3 linked regions of the Mus musculus genome follow. The protein of the gene in region 1 interacts with the protein of each later gene in a pairwise test. Links are inferred from orthologs where the notes say so. Each region holds a gene or a part of one and is shown on either strand. Other genes may lie near its edges. The genes, in order: Psmf1, Bend7 and Fbxo7.

Evidence for each region.
Region 2: the proteins of Psmf1 (region 1) and Bend7 interact in a two-hybrid assay, tested with the Homo sapiens proteins (2 studies listed by BioGRID and IntAct). The two-hybrid records come from large-scale screens. The link is inferred for Mus musculus from reciprocal best matches to the Homo sapiens genes PSMF1 and BEND7.
Region 3: the proteins of Psmf1 (region 1) and Fbxo7 interact in binary tests that used the Homo sapiens proteins (3 or more experiments, as listed by UniProt). The link is inferred for Mus musculus from reciprocal best matches to the Homo sapiens genes PSMF1 and FBXO7.

The regions. Positions count from the first base shown.
Region 1 is NC_000068.7:151,717,259-151,720,908, forward strand, and holds part of Psmf1 (proteasome inhibitor PI31 subunit), read right to left. Parts: intron 3,619-3,650; coding exon 3,565-3,618; intron 2,386-3,564; coding exon 2,227-2,385; intron 1,428-2,226; coding exon 1,376-1,427; 3' UTR 1-1,375. UniProt on the Homo sapiens protein: Plays an important role in control of proteasome function. Inhibits the hydrolysis of protein and peptide substrates by the 20S proteasome. Also inhibits the activation of the proteasome by the proteasome regulatory proteins PA700 and PA28.
Region 2 is NC_000068.7:4,752,273-4,755,922, forward strand, and holds part of Bend7 (BEN domain-containing protein 7), read left to right. Parts: intron 1-447; coding exon 448-719; intron 720-3,650.
Region 3 is NC_000076.6:86,028,338-86,031,987, reverse strand, and holds part of Fbxo7 (F-box only protein 7), read right to left. Parts: intron 2,980-3,650; coding exon 2,752-2,979; intron 1,061-2,751; coding exon 919-1,060; intron 1-918. UniProt on the Homo sapiens protein: Substrate recognition component of a SCF (SKP1-CUL1-F-box protein) E3 ubiquitin-protein ligase complex which mediates the ubiquitination and subsequent proteasomal degradation of target proteins and plays a role in several biological processes such as cell cycle, cell proliferation, or maintenance of chromosome stability.

The sequences.
Region 1 (3,650 bases):
ACATCCACCTGCCAGCCCTCAAGGATGAAGTTGATGCACAATGGACGTCTTGTCCTTGTCTCTGCATGGTCTGTGGCCTCAGAGCACAGAATGGCCTACACCTTCAAGGTGGTCAGTGCCTGACCCATGGGATCCTTCAACAGCTAGGGAGCCTGCTCATGCTGGATTGAGCCCCAAGCCCAGCCTCCCTGAGACTGGCCCTGGTCCTGTCAGTCCAGTCTATCTCCCCATCTATCCTGGAGCCACACATGGTTGGGCTGCCGGCCATGGAACGAAGCGCTTGGTACTTGATTTGGTGTCTCCTGGAACAGTACGCCATTGTGCTCTTCCAGCTTTATGGCACAGGGGTAGAGCACTGCCAGTGCCTGTCAGCTGGGGCTTCAAATATCTAGATAATTCTACAGATTGGGAGAGCTTGGACACAGGCTTCCAAAGACAAAGGCTCCCCTTCCTCCTGGCTGGACCCATGTTCCTATGCTCTTGTCAGTCCCAGGAGGACATGAAGAGCAGGTAATAGACACAGCGTACCTTCGTTTTCTCTTCTCTAGTACCTAGGGCTATTCCCATCCACACAGCTCACTACAGAGCTCCAGTGAAGGCACCTCTGATTTCACAGGTCGTTACTAGGCTCCTAAGAGAAAGGACTTCTTTAGGGTCACTATGAAACTAGCCTACAGGTCTGTTCTGTTTATTCCTCTACTTACAGGCCACTGCAGCCCAGGGAGAGTCAACAGGCTGCTCAGAGCAACTGGTTGAGCATGCCCTTGGGAGGAGATGGCAGTTTTTCTAGTGTGCCTGCTTTGGTGAAATCATCCTTGTGGCTCATGGATTCCAATCACACTTCCACCCAGAAAGCCTGGGTGGGGCTCATCTTAGTGATGTCAGGAGCAAGAGTAACTTGTGACTCGAGGGTGCTTGAGAAGAATGCCCTGTAGGAATCCCGTAGTCCTATGCAGTATCACACTCTTAAGAGTTTGTGCATTAACAAAAAGGAGCGTGGAAGACTGGCAACATGTATTCTGTATTGACATTTGGTTCTTAATAATAACATCCAAAATGCGTTCTGTTCTTATAGCGCTGTGACCGCGACTGCATCGGGTGGAGGGCTGATGTTGCCGGAGTCTTCCTTGCAAGTGGGGAGGAGCTGGTGATTGAGACACACTAATTTCTCCGTGGGACCTATATGCAGCTTGGTGGGGTGCTGCAGCAGGCACCTCGGCTCTGACAAGGGCTGGGGATGCAACCCCAGCAGGCCTGCAAACACATGGGCAGAATCCTCTGCCCCAAGCCCACAAGAATACTGACGCTGATGGGGCCAGTGGTGGCAGCTCCTGGAGAGTAAAAGGGAGGCTGAGCTGTTACATTCTTGAGGCCTTCACAGGTACATGTCATCGTAGCCCGGTGGGGGAAGATGGTCAGGGTTAGGTCTGCAATGTAAAGAGGGTCTAATGAATTGGAGAATGAGGCTGAGTACGCAAGAAACATGCCCCGTATGGAGGAGGCCCACAGAGTGACATGGAGTTTAAGATCATGAACTCTAGGGCCAGATGGCCTGGAACTAAATTTTACCATGGCTTAAACACCCAGTCTCCTGGCCTTGCCCTTCTCATCTATAAAAGAACTATTGACATAAGCATTTCTTCTCCTGTGTTGTCCTTGCAGGGTCAATAGCGTGCTGGACAGTTTTACATAAAGTTGATACAAATTATAGTCATCTGAGAGGGGGAACTTTGATTGAGAGAACATGCCTCCACAAGATCAGACTACAGGCAAGCCTGTAGAACATTTCCTTAATTGATGGGGGAGAGCCCAGCCCACTGTGACTGGGGCCACCCATGGGCTGGTGGGTTCTGTAAGAAAGCAGGCTGAGCAGGCCAGGGAGAACAAGCTAGCAAGCAGCACTCCTCCATGGCCTCTGCACCAGCTCCTGTCTCCAAGTTCTTGCTCTCTTCGAGTTCCTGTCCTGACTTCTTTTAACGATGAACCCGTGATATGGAGTCAAATAAACTCTCTCCCAAGATCCTTTTTGTTCATGGTGTTTCATCACAGCAATGATAACTCCAACTAAGACACCAAGGGAAGAAGGTGAGGAGAGACCCCCTAGGCCTCCAGGGAGGCAGCATGGCAGCTGTGCCTGGAGTCAGATACCTCGGCTGCAGTGCTGGACTAAGCTAAGCGGAGCTGCCATCAGGTCCCACCTCTCAGCATACCTGAGTGAATACCTACCCAGATGGGCTGGTCCCAATGGGTCCAAAGGGGTCAAAGCGAGCTCCTGGGGGCACAGCACCAGGAGGAAGCCGGTTTGGGAGGCCTGAGGATGGGTCAATAAGTACTCTTGGGAAGCCGGATCTCAGGGGATCCACAATCATGCCACCTCTCTGACACCTGAGACAGGAAGGAAGCTGGGTAAGCAGGTGTTACAGAGACTACTGCCCTTGAAGAAGAGAGACAGGCATATAGTGAATAAAAATTGACCAGCATGACTACTCTAGAAGTCCAGGAAGACAGGAGAGCAAGTCAGAGTGAACAAGAATACAAAGAGCACACAAAGTTGTGCACCACTGGAGCCAAAGGGCCTGCAGCAGCAGAGGAAGTTCTGTAAGGATTCCGTGAGCCCACAGGACAGAGATCTCTGACACATCTTACATTTAGTAAGATCAACTGGTCAAGAACCAGAGCTAGAATTGGCCAGGATCAATACAGAACTCTCCAGCTCTGCAGAGTTTATCCTAAGTCTAGGAGTAATAGCGTCAATACCATGATGAGGGTTTGCTATTTTCTTTTTCTTTTTTTTTTTGGTTTTTCAAGACAGGGTTTCTCTGTATAGCCCTGGCTGTCCTGGAACTCAATTTGTAGACCAGGCTAGTCTTGAACTCAGAAATCCGCCTGCCTCTGCCTCCCAAGTGCTGGGATTAAAGGCGTGCGCCACTACCGCCTGGCCGAGGGTTTGCTATTTTCTTAAGGGCCTCAGCACAGCTGCTAACTGCCTGTGGGTTGCCCAAGCCTGGCTCCTGCCATTCTCTGTCCCTCACTGAGTTCCACAGACCTGACTTCATGCACTCAAGCTGAGATAAATAGGCTTACATGCTGAGGTCACTGTCTGAGCCGCTCTGAAGAGTTAAGTGAGTCCTATGATCTAAAACTGAGATGCTAAAAGTGGGGTCACTCTTCAGCAGGAGTTAAACCTCATCTGACTCACTCAGAGAACACTGCAGAGCTGAGGGTACAGAACCTCTGCTGGATACAGGATGAGAATCAGAGGATACTCCCTTTGTGGAATGAGGTAACCACTAAATAGCCTGAGCTGTTACTCTACAGCCTGTGGCCCATTGTGTGGTTTTCCTTTTGCATCCTTATGACTCTTGCCCAGGAGGGTCCCAGGTCTTTCTCTGAACTGCTCTGGGTATGGCAGACCACAGAAAGTAGCAGTGACTCCTCAGCCACTCATCACTACCTCCTTCACTCCAAAGGGAGGGGAGGCTGACGAAAGCTCTAAAATGGGATGAGCTGGGCTGCAAGCCACTAAGCAAATTATACTGTTGCTGCCTCCCCAGAAATACTCACCCAAAAGGGTCTAGGTCATCTCCCCCGACAGCAAATGGGCTCAGGGGATCACGCCTGAAACAAACAAGGACAATTACCACAATTCC
Region 2 (3,650 bases), about 150 Mb from region 1:
CTTCCAAACTGTTTCTTTCAACCAGTCTTGCCCAGATCATCATCATCGTGTCCTTGTAGGCTGTAACTGATCAGCTGAACTCCAGAGACATTAGGGCTTTTGCTAGGATGGGCTTACCAGAGAGCATGAGCATCTATACTTAGATTTATGTTCTGGGGTTCTCCTTCAAACCTGCCACATGACCATGAAGCCATAGCTCTTAACCCTTTCCTTCCATCGAAGCCAGGCTGCTGTACCGGTCTGATGATCCAGTACATTCAGAGCTGTTTCTCCTGGTGAGAAACACTCTGCTGTTAGGACTTTAAGGTGCTGAGTGAGATATATCTATCTGTTCTTCATCCTGAGGGAGCCAAGCCTCAGAGTCAGCGTGTATATCGCAGAGACAGGCCAGGGTAGATTTTCCTCAGACACAAGTGCCTGTACCATATTTGTGTTTATTGTCCACAGTTGGAACTCAAAACAGACAACAACCCCCAATTTCCCTTATGTGCTCCCAGCGAACCGCCGTCTCACGCAAGAGAAATAAAAAGAAAAAAGTGCTTCCGAAGACTGTGCAACCTGTGACGGCTGTGGAACCAAAGCCCAGTCCCTTGGAAACTGAGAAGAAGCCAGCAGCCTCGGCCACAAGGCCACCAGGTCTCCAAGCTGCAGAGCGCACCTCCACCGAGGAGAACCACGTCCTGGGATTTGGCATTGTTCTGGAATCGCCGTCCTCAGATGTAAGTTGATATGTTCTGGCTGCCAACCTGGTTGATAGAAGTTTCAGGAACCTTGTAGTATTAAGACTCTTTCCACCTAACTAGTTCTGCCCCAAACAAGAAGAGAGGCATGCATGTGAGGAAGAGGAGGAGACTGGTAAGAACCGGAAAAATGTGAGCCTTCCTTGTTCACAGACATCCCACTTCTTATCTCAGAAAGGAGAGGGGTGTGTTGTAAATAATCTGCTCGCTAATTTCTCTACGATTTTTAATTTCCAAGTGGCAGTTTTCAATTTCCTCAATGTAGAAAACTAAGAGAATATAATTAAATCCTTTGTAGACGGGCATAAATGAACAGAAGCTTACAGATAAGGTCATACCTTTGTGGAAACACAAACTAAAAATAAGAAAGGAGCAGCGGTGCTAATTCTGTTTTATAGATGCAAGCCACACTGCTAATTAGGTGGCAGTGCCATGCCATTTACTCCGTGTAATGATAGGTTAACGCTCTGCAAAGGTTTGCTATTTTAATATCACGGCCTGAATGATGTTGCAGTCTGGGACGGTAGATTGCATCCGAGATATCCATCTGACATGCTGTTTTATATTCATGGGCCCATAAATGAATTTCTGTCATAATGTGCTGAATTTGCAGCTGCATACTCTATTTACAATATCTTTATCTAGAGTACCTTTACGTTGTGAATCCCAACTTGTTGTCAGAGTTCTTAAAATAAACAGGAAAAAGTGATGTATTGTTCCCAGATTGCATAGGGTGAGGCTCCTGCCGAGCGCTCCCACAGACTCCTATAGGATTGGAGTTTCTCCCTGCCTCCTGAACTTTAAATAGGAAACAATTGCTGATTTCTGTAAGTATCATGAGAGGAAGGCAGTTTGCTAGCATTTATCTACATTTGGGCTTTTAATGAAAAGAATCATCTCACTATGTTTTCAATCTAGAAAATTCTTTGCACTTTCACCAAACCTTTACTGTTAAAAGAGGCATTTGTTTTAATAATACGTGTGTGCTAAAGCCATTAAACTCTTCTAAACTAATATTTAATTTACAAAATCCTTTTGGTAGTGAAGTTTGGTTGTGTGACCAGCTCCCTTGTTTGATCGTATTTTGTTATCACAACAGCTAAAGCCTGGTTCAAACCCTAGGTGAATCATATATTTGAAAACAGATAAATTATTCTATAATAATTACAAAATATTATAAAGTACAGCTAGGCTGTTTTTGATAAACTGTCATGTTTTCCTTAAATTTCTTAAAATTCTTTTCTGCTAGGCATTGGTATATTAGAACAGACTGTAGATCATCTGCTGTGTAGATGTGTCTAGTGCCACTAACAACTGAATTTTACCCTTTTATTGTTAAGATTCAAGTGTATTTTATCAATAAATTGGAGGTGTGGTAAAGACCCTGTGTATATTTGCAAAATAGAATAGAATTTTTATTAGTTTTACCAACATCAGTATTTATTTATGTAATACATACAAACAGTTTACATTTTATTCATGGCTGACTCTGGTACTTCTTACCAAAAATGATTATTAAATGATAGTATGATTGTAAGGAAAGGGTGGGAAAGCTGTGGGCATGTCATCTTTACAGTACCCATTACACCACCATTTAATTTACCTCTTCAGTACATGAGTGAGCTGAGAACCTCACATAGAGAACTTAACACTGAGTCCCAGGATGAGCTGCAAAAATGCTTTCCATGGGCTGTGCTCATAGGTGTCTGTCAGGCTGGCCGGAGCAGTTCCTGGGACGAGAAGTGGGCTTGACTCCAGAAAAATGGACTCTCTCTGCTCAAGGGACCTCCAACTTAGGTCCCTTTCTAATCTTCTAGTATTTCTTAGCTATGAGGCTATAAAATGTTTAATGGAAGTCTATAGGGAATAATTCTTCTAATTTTTACAGCAATTTTCCTATAAAACAAGTTGGAGAAAACACAGGGAGATAGGAGTTTTGCATTAGAAAATGGCTTCTGAGCTGGGCGTGGTGGCACACGCCTTTAATCCCAGCACTCGGGAGGCAGAGGCAGGTGGATTTCTGAGTTCGAGACCAGCCTGGTCTACAGAGTGAGTTCCAGGACAGCCAGGGCTATACAGAGAAACCCTGTCTCAAAGAAAGAAAAGAGAGAGAGAGAGAGAGAGAGAGAGAGAGAGAGGAAAAGAAAAGAAAAGAAAAGAAAAGAAAAGAAAAGAAAAGAAAAGAAAAAAAGAAAGAAAAGAAAAGGGCCTCTGAAAAGTCTGCAGTGTTCAGAGGCCTTCAGTGGTAGTGTTGGGCAGTTTGTCTGTTGTTTCTCAAATAGCTGAGTGGCTTTGGGGAAAAGCAGGATGCTTCCAGGAGAGAAGACCTTGATGCTGCCCGTGAGATACAGTCCATCTTCGTCTGGGGGCACAGAGGAGCCGCTGGTGTAGGGTTCAGCAGAGGAACAATCTGCCTGTGAGGGTGGGGCCTGGAGTCCGTTATGAGTGAGAGACAGATGAAGAGGGAGAAGCTAGATCAATGGCTCTCAACTTGTGGGTCGAGACCCCTTCGGGAGCCGGCTGTGCCTTTCACAGGAGTCGCATATCAGAGATCCTGCATATCAGATAGTCACGTTAGGATTCGTAACAGTAGCAAAATTATAGTTATGAAGTAGCAGCAAAAATAATTTTATGGTTGAGAGTCATCACAGCAATCAGGAGCTGTATTATAGGGTCCCAGCCTTAGGAAGGTTGAGAACCGCTCTACTAGAGTTTAGGCAGAAAGCCAAAAGCTCCCTCTGGTTAACCAGGCAAGAGTGGGAAGCCTTAAAGTGAAGGGAGGTCCGTGAGGACAGGCTGCTTGCTGAGGGCAAAGCTCAGGCCTGGGTTTGGTTTTGGGAAGGAGGTGAGTGACGAGCTCTTACCAGCAACTTGACTCCGGGTGGGACTTCCTGTTCTACACAGGAAAGA
Region 3 (3,650 bases), on another chromosome or scaffold:
CTCACTAGCGTAAGTACCTGAGAAGATCATCTCAGAAAGTAAACAGTGTTAGCCCAGTTAGGTGGTACACACCCACAACCCCAGAACTTGAGAGACAGAGACAGAAGAACCACAAGTACAAGGCCAGCTTCAGCTACATAAAGAATTTGAGTTCAGTTTGGGCTATACAGACCCAATTTCAAAAGTATAAAAATAAAACAAAAGATCAGAATGAGATGTAAAATCCTGGTCACCCAAATGGATCTCCTACTGTGAGATCATGAGAACATTCCAGAAACCAGTGGTGGTTGGGAAAGACCTGTGTGACATCATGACTAACATGAAATGCAACCACAGGTTAAGACTTAAAGAAGTAAATAAAAAGAGACATTCACAGACATGCACAAAAGAACACTCTTCTAAGTTTCTACACAGTAAAACTCATTTTATTTCTATTACCACAGCTCTCACAGAACCAAGTGTTCAAAAAATGAGACATCGCAAGAAAGAGCTGAGGCTGGAGAGGTGGCTCAACGGTTAGTTATAGGCACTGGCTGTTCTTACAGAGGAGCCTAGTTCAATTCCGAGCACCCACATGGCAGTTCGCAGCATCTGTAACACCAATCGCAGGGGATCTGACACCTCTTCTGGCTTCCACAGGCACCACATGCATGTGATGATGCACAGACAGATAGGGAAAACACTCAAAACGTAAAATAAAAACAAACGGTCAAAAAGAAAACAAGGGGGCTACCCTGAGAGTGAAGGGTGCTGTTCTAAACCAACATCCTCGCATTTGAAATCTTTCAGGCATATGTCATCAGTGGTATAGGAATTAAGTTGTGAACGACTCGGACAGACACTCAAGTGGCTACAGAATGTTTATAAAGAAACTACTTAATTCATAAGGCAGCAACCATGACTGCTCCGTCCCATTACCATTTATAATGATTAAGTTTCCCAAAGGCACACAGGTAAGCACGGCAAAGCCGCCCTCGCAGAGAGGATGTGTGTACTGCAGTTTGTATACACCACTTGACTTCCACTTCTCAGGCATTGTCACTGCTTTGGTTTCAGTTCCCTGAAGAATGAAAGGAAAGGAAAAATAATGAAGAAAGGCGTTGTGTTGAAAAACCTGAAAGTCAGTTAACACCCCTAACTTACTGTGCAACACAGCCCCCCTTAAGCTACCGACGAGGCTCAGCAGATAAAGTGCTTTGTCACAGAAGCCTGATACTCAAGGTGAGCCACAGAAAGGTGAAGGCAGACAACCAACTCCACAGATCTCTGCTGACTGCCACACATGCTACATGGTATGCACACGCCCCACAGACACACACCTCACACATTTTTATAAAGACGCATAGCCTCAACATAATATGCACATCATTAACACTAAAGGAGGATAATATTTTTCTATCAAAATATTCATTTTAATAGATAAGATGACATCATAGAAATAAGGCTTAATTTTTCTCTTCTAAGGCTCACATTTTCTACCTAGTAAAGACATACCATTACTCAAGACTGCAGGGTGAATAGCACTTCCTTCATACAGCCCTTTTTAGAAAAGTTATTTTCTAACATTTACTCACATTTCTATCACTGCATATTTATTATTCTTTGTCAATTTACACTGTTATTTGTAATATGCCATATTTGTCTGGTCTTTTGTGCTCCTTTGTGAACTCTGAGAAATGTGTGCACAGGCGTTCCCTGATCCTGGGTTACTCTCCATCTTTGTGCTCTATCCATGGCCACAGGGAACATGTACAGGCCAGCAGCGCAGGGGTCAGGCCAGAGTATGCAAGAAGCCCAGCTCTATCCTCAGCTTACAAGTCAGAATCTCGGCTCTAATACGGTCCCATGGATTCCCAGCTCCACTCTAACTCTTCATCCAGAGTCCCTGGCACTCTGGATGTGTAAGTGTCTCTCCTAGAACTTACACATTATACTATAATGGTCTAAATTCTTCTCTACTCTCAGACTAACAGTAACTTAAACAAAGACCTAAGACCAGGAACAGAAACAAGTCACTGAATTAGTAGATGCTTAACAAACCCATGCTGAATGACGATAAGCAACCACAGCACAAGCCTATGAACACGACACATTAATTAGTCAGCATCATTCATACTCAGTCCACACTGCCACACTTTATCTTGATATTATAGTATATAAAACCTTGTGTCTTTTTTTCCCCCCTTTTGGACCAGTTGCCATTATCTCTGGGCAATACTAAATGCTAACAAGGGAAATGATGGAAAAAGAAGGAATGCTGGAAAGGGCACATTTACTGAGTACCTGTGACAACTCCTCACTGTGTCTGACATTTTATATTCAAGAACCAATCACATTTAGTAAAGGAAGATAGACTATCACGATGCCCTTGTGAAGTACCCAGGGAGACATCATGACTTAGTTAGGGCTTTACTGCTATGAACAGACACCATGACCAAGGCAACTCTTATAAGGACAGCCATTTACTTGGGGCTGGCTCAGAGGTTCAGAGATTCAGTCCATTATCATCATCAAGACAGGAACATGGCAGCTACCAGGCAGGCATGGTGCAGGAGGAGCTGAGAGTTCTACATCTTCATCTGAAGGCCACTAAGAGAAGACTGGCTCCCATGTGGTTAGGAGGAAGGTCTCATTGCCCATCCCAACAGTGACACACTTCCTCCAACAAGGTCACACCTCCTGATAGTGCCACTCCTTGGGCCAAGCATATTCAAATCACCACACCTCCTAAGGTATTTGGGTTGCACTCACCTGAGGAATGTAGCCTGACTCGAGCATCAGGAGATGCACCAGCACTATCAAGGCATCACTGATGTTGGAGCAGCCAGCTGACTGGTACAGGGTCTCTAGAGAATGTGGTACCTGCCCATCCTCTGTTTCATTACAGAGCATTGGTTCCAATGGATGGAAACCAGAAACCTCTTCCATACTCATGGCATCCTGAATTGACTCAGCTTCAACATTTTGACTAGGCCCTTCCTAAAAAGGATAATAGATTCATTAATTTTACATAGGACATTTTATAACCTAAACTGAGCAGAGATTAGTGCTCAAAACAAAAGCCAGCATGAGGTTCAGATATAGGAAGCTCTTATAAATAAATGACACTGCAACCTACACCTCTGTCCTGAGTCCCATAACTCCAGGCTAAAAACATGGAGCTCATCGGTAAGTCTCCATACACTTACTAAACAGTACCTAATTGTGCTCATAGCTCCAACCACTACCATGCCCAGATCTCTCTAAAGCTGTACTTCCTGTGCCACTGTACCTCATACCCCCATTATGTGTCTCCTGAGTTCCAGGAACAGCACCTCCTCAGAGTGCCTGCCTCCCCTTCTTGTCTCATATACACCATGTACTCCTGCCAGTTACCCAAAGTTAAGGAGCCAATCACATCTTATGTCCCAGTTGAAAACTCAGGATTTCCTCAAGACAGGCAGTACTGTTTCCCACAATTGTACTTTAAGACTGTGTCCCTGAATGTTCTTAGAGAAAAATTGGTACAGAGTCAAGCAGAAAAACACTACATGCATGCTACGTCTGCCTAATCTAACCCTCTACATTCACAGGATCCGGTAATAACCTTATAAAAGCTCTGAGAGGTCTAAAAATAGGAGTCATGTGTTCATTTAACAAAAACGCATTTG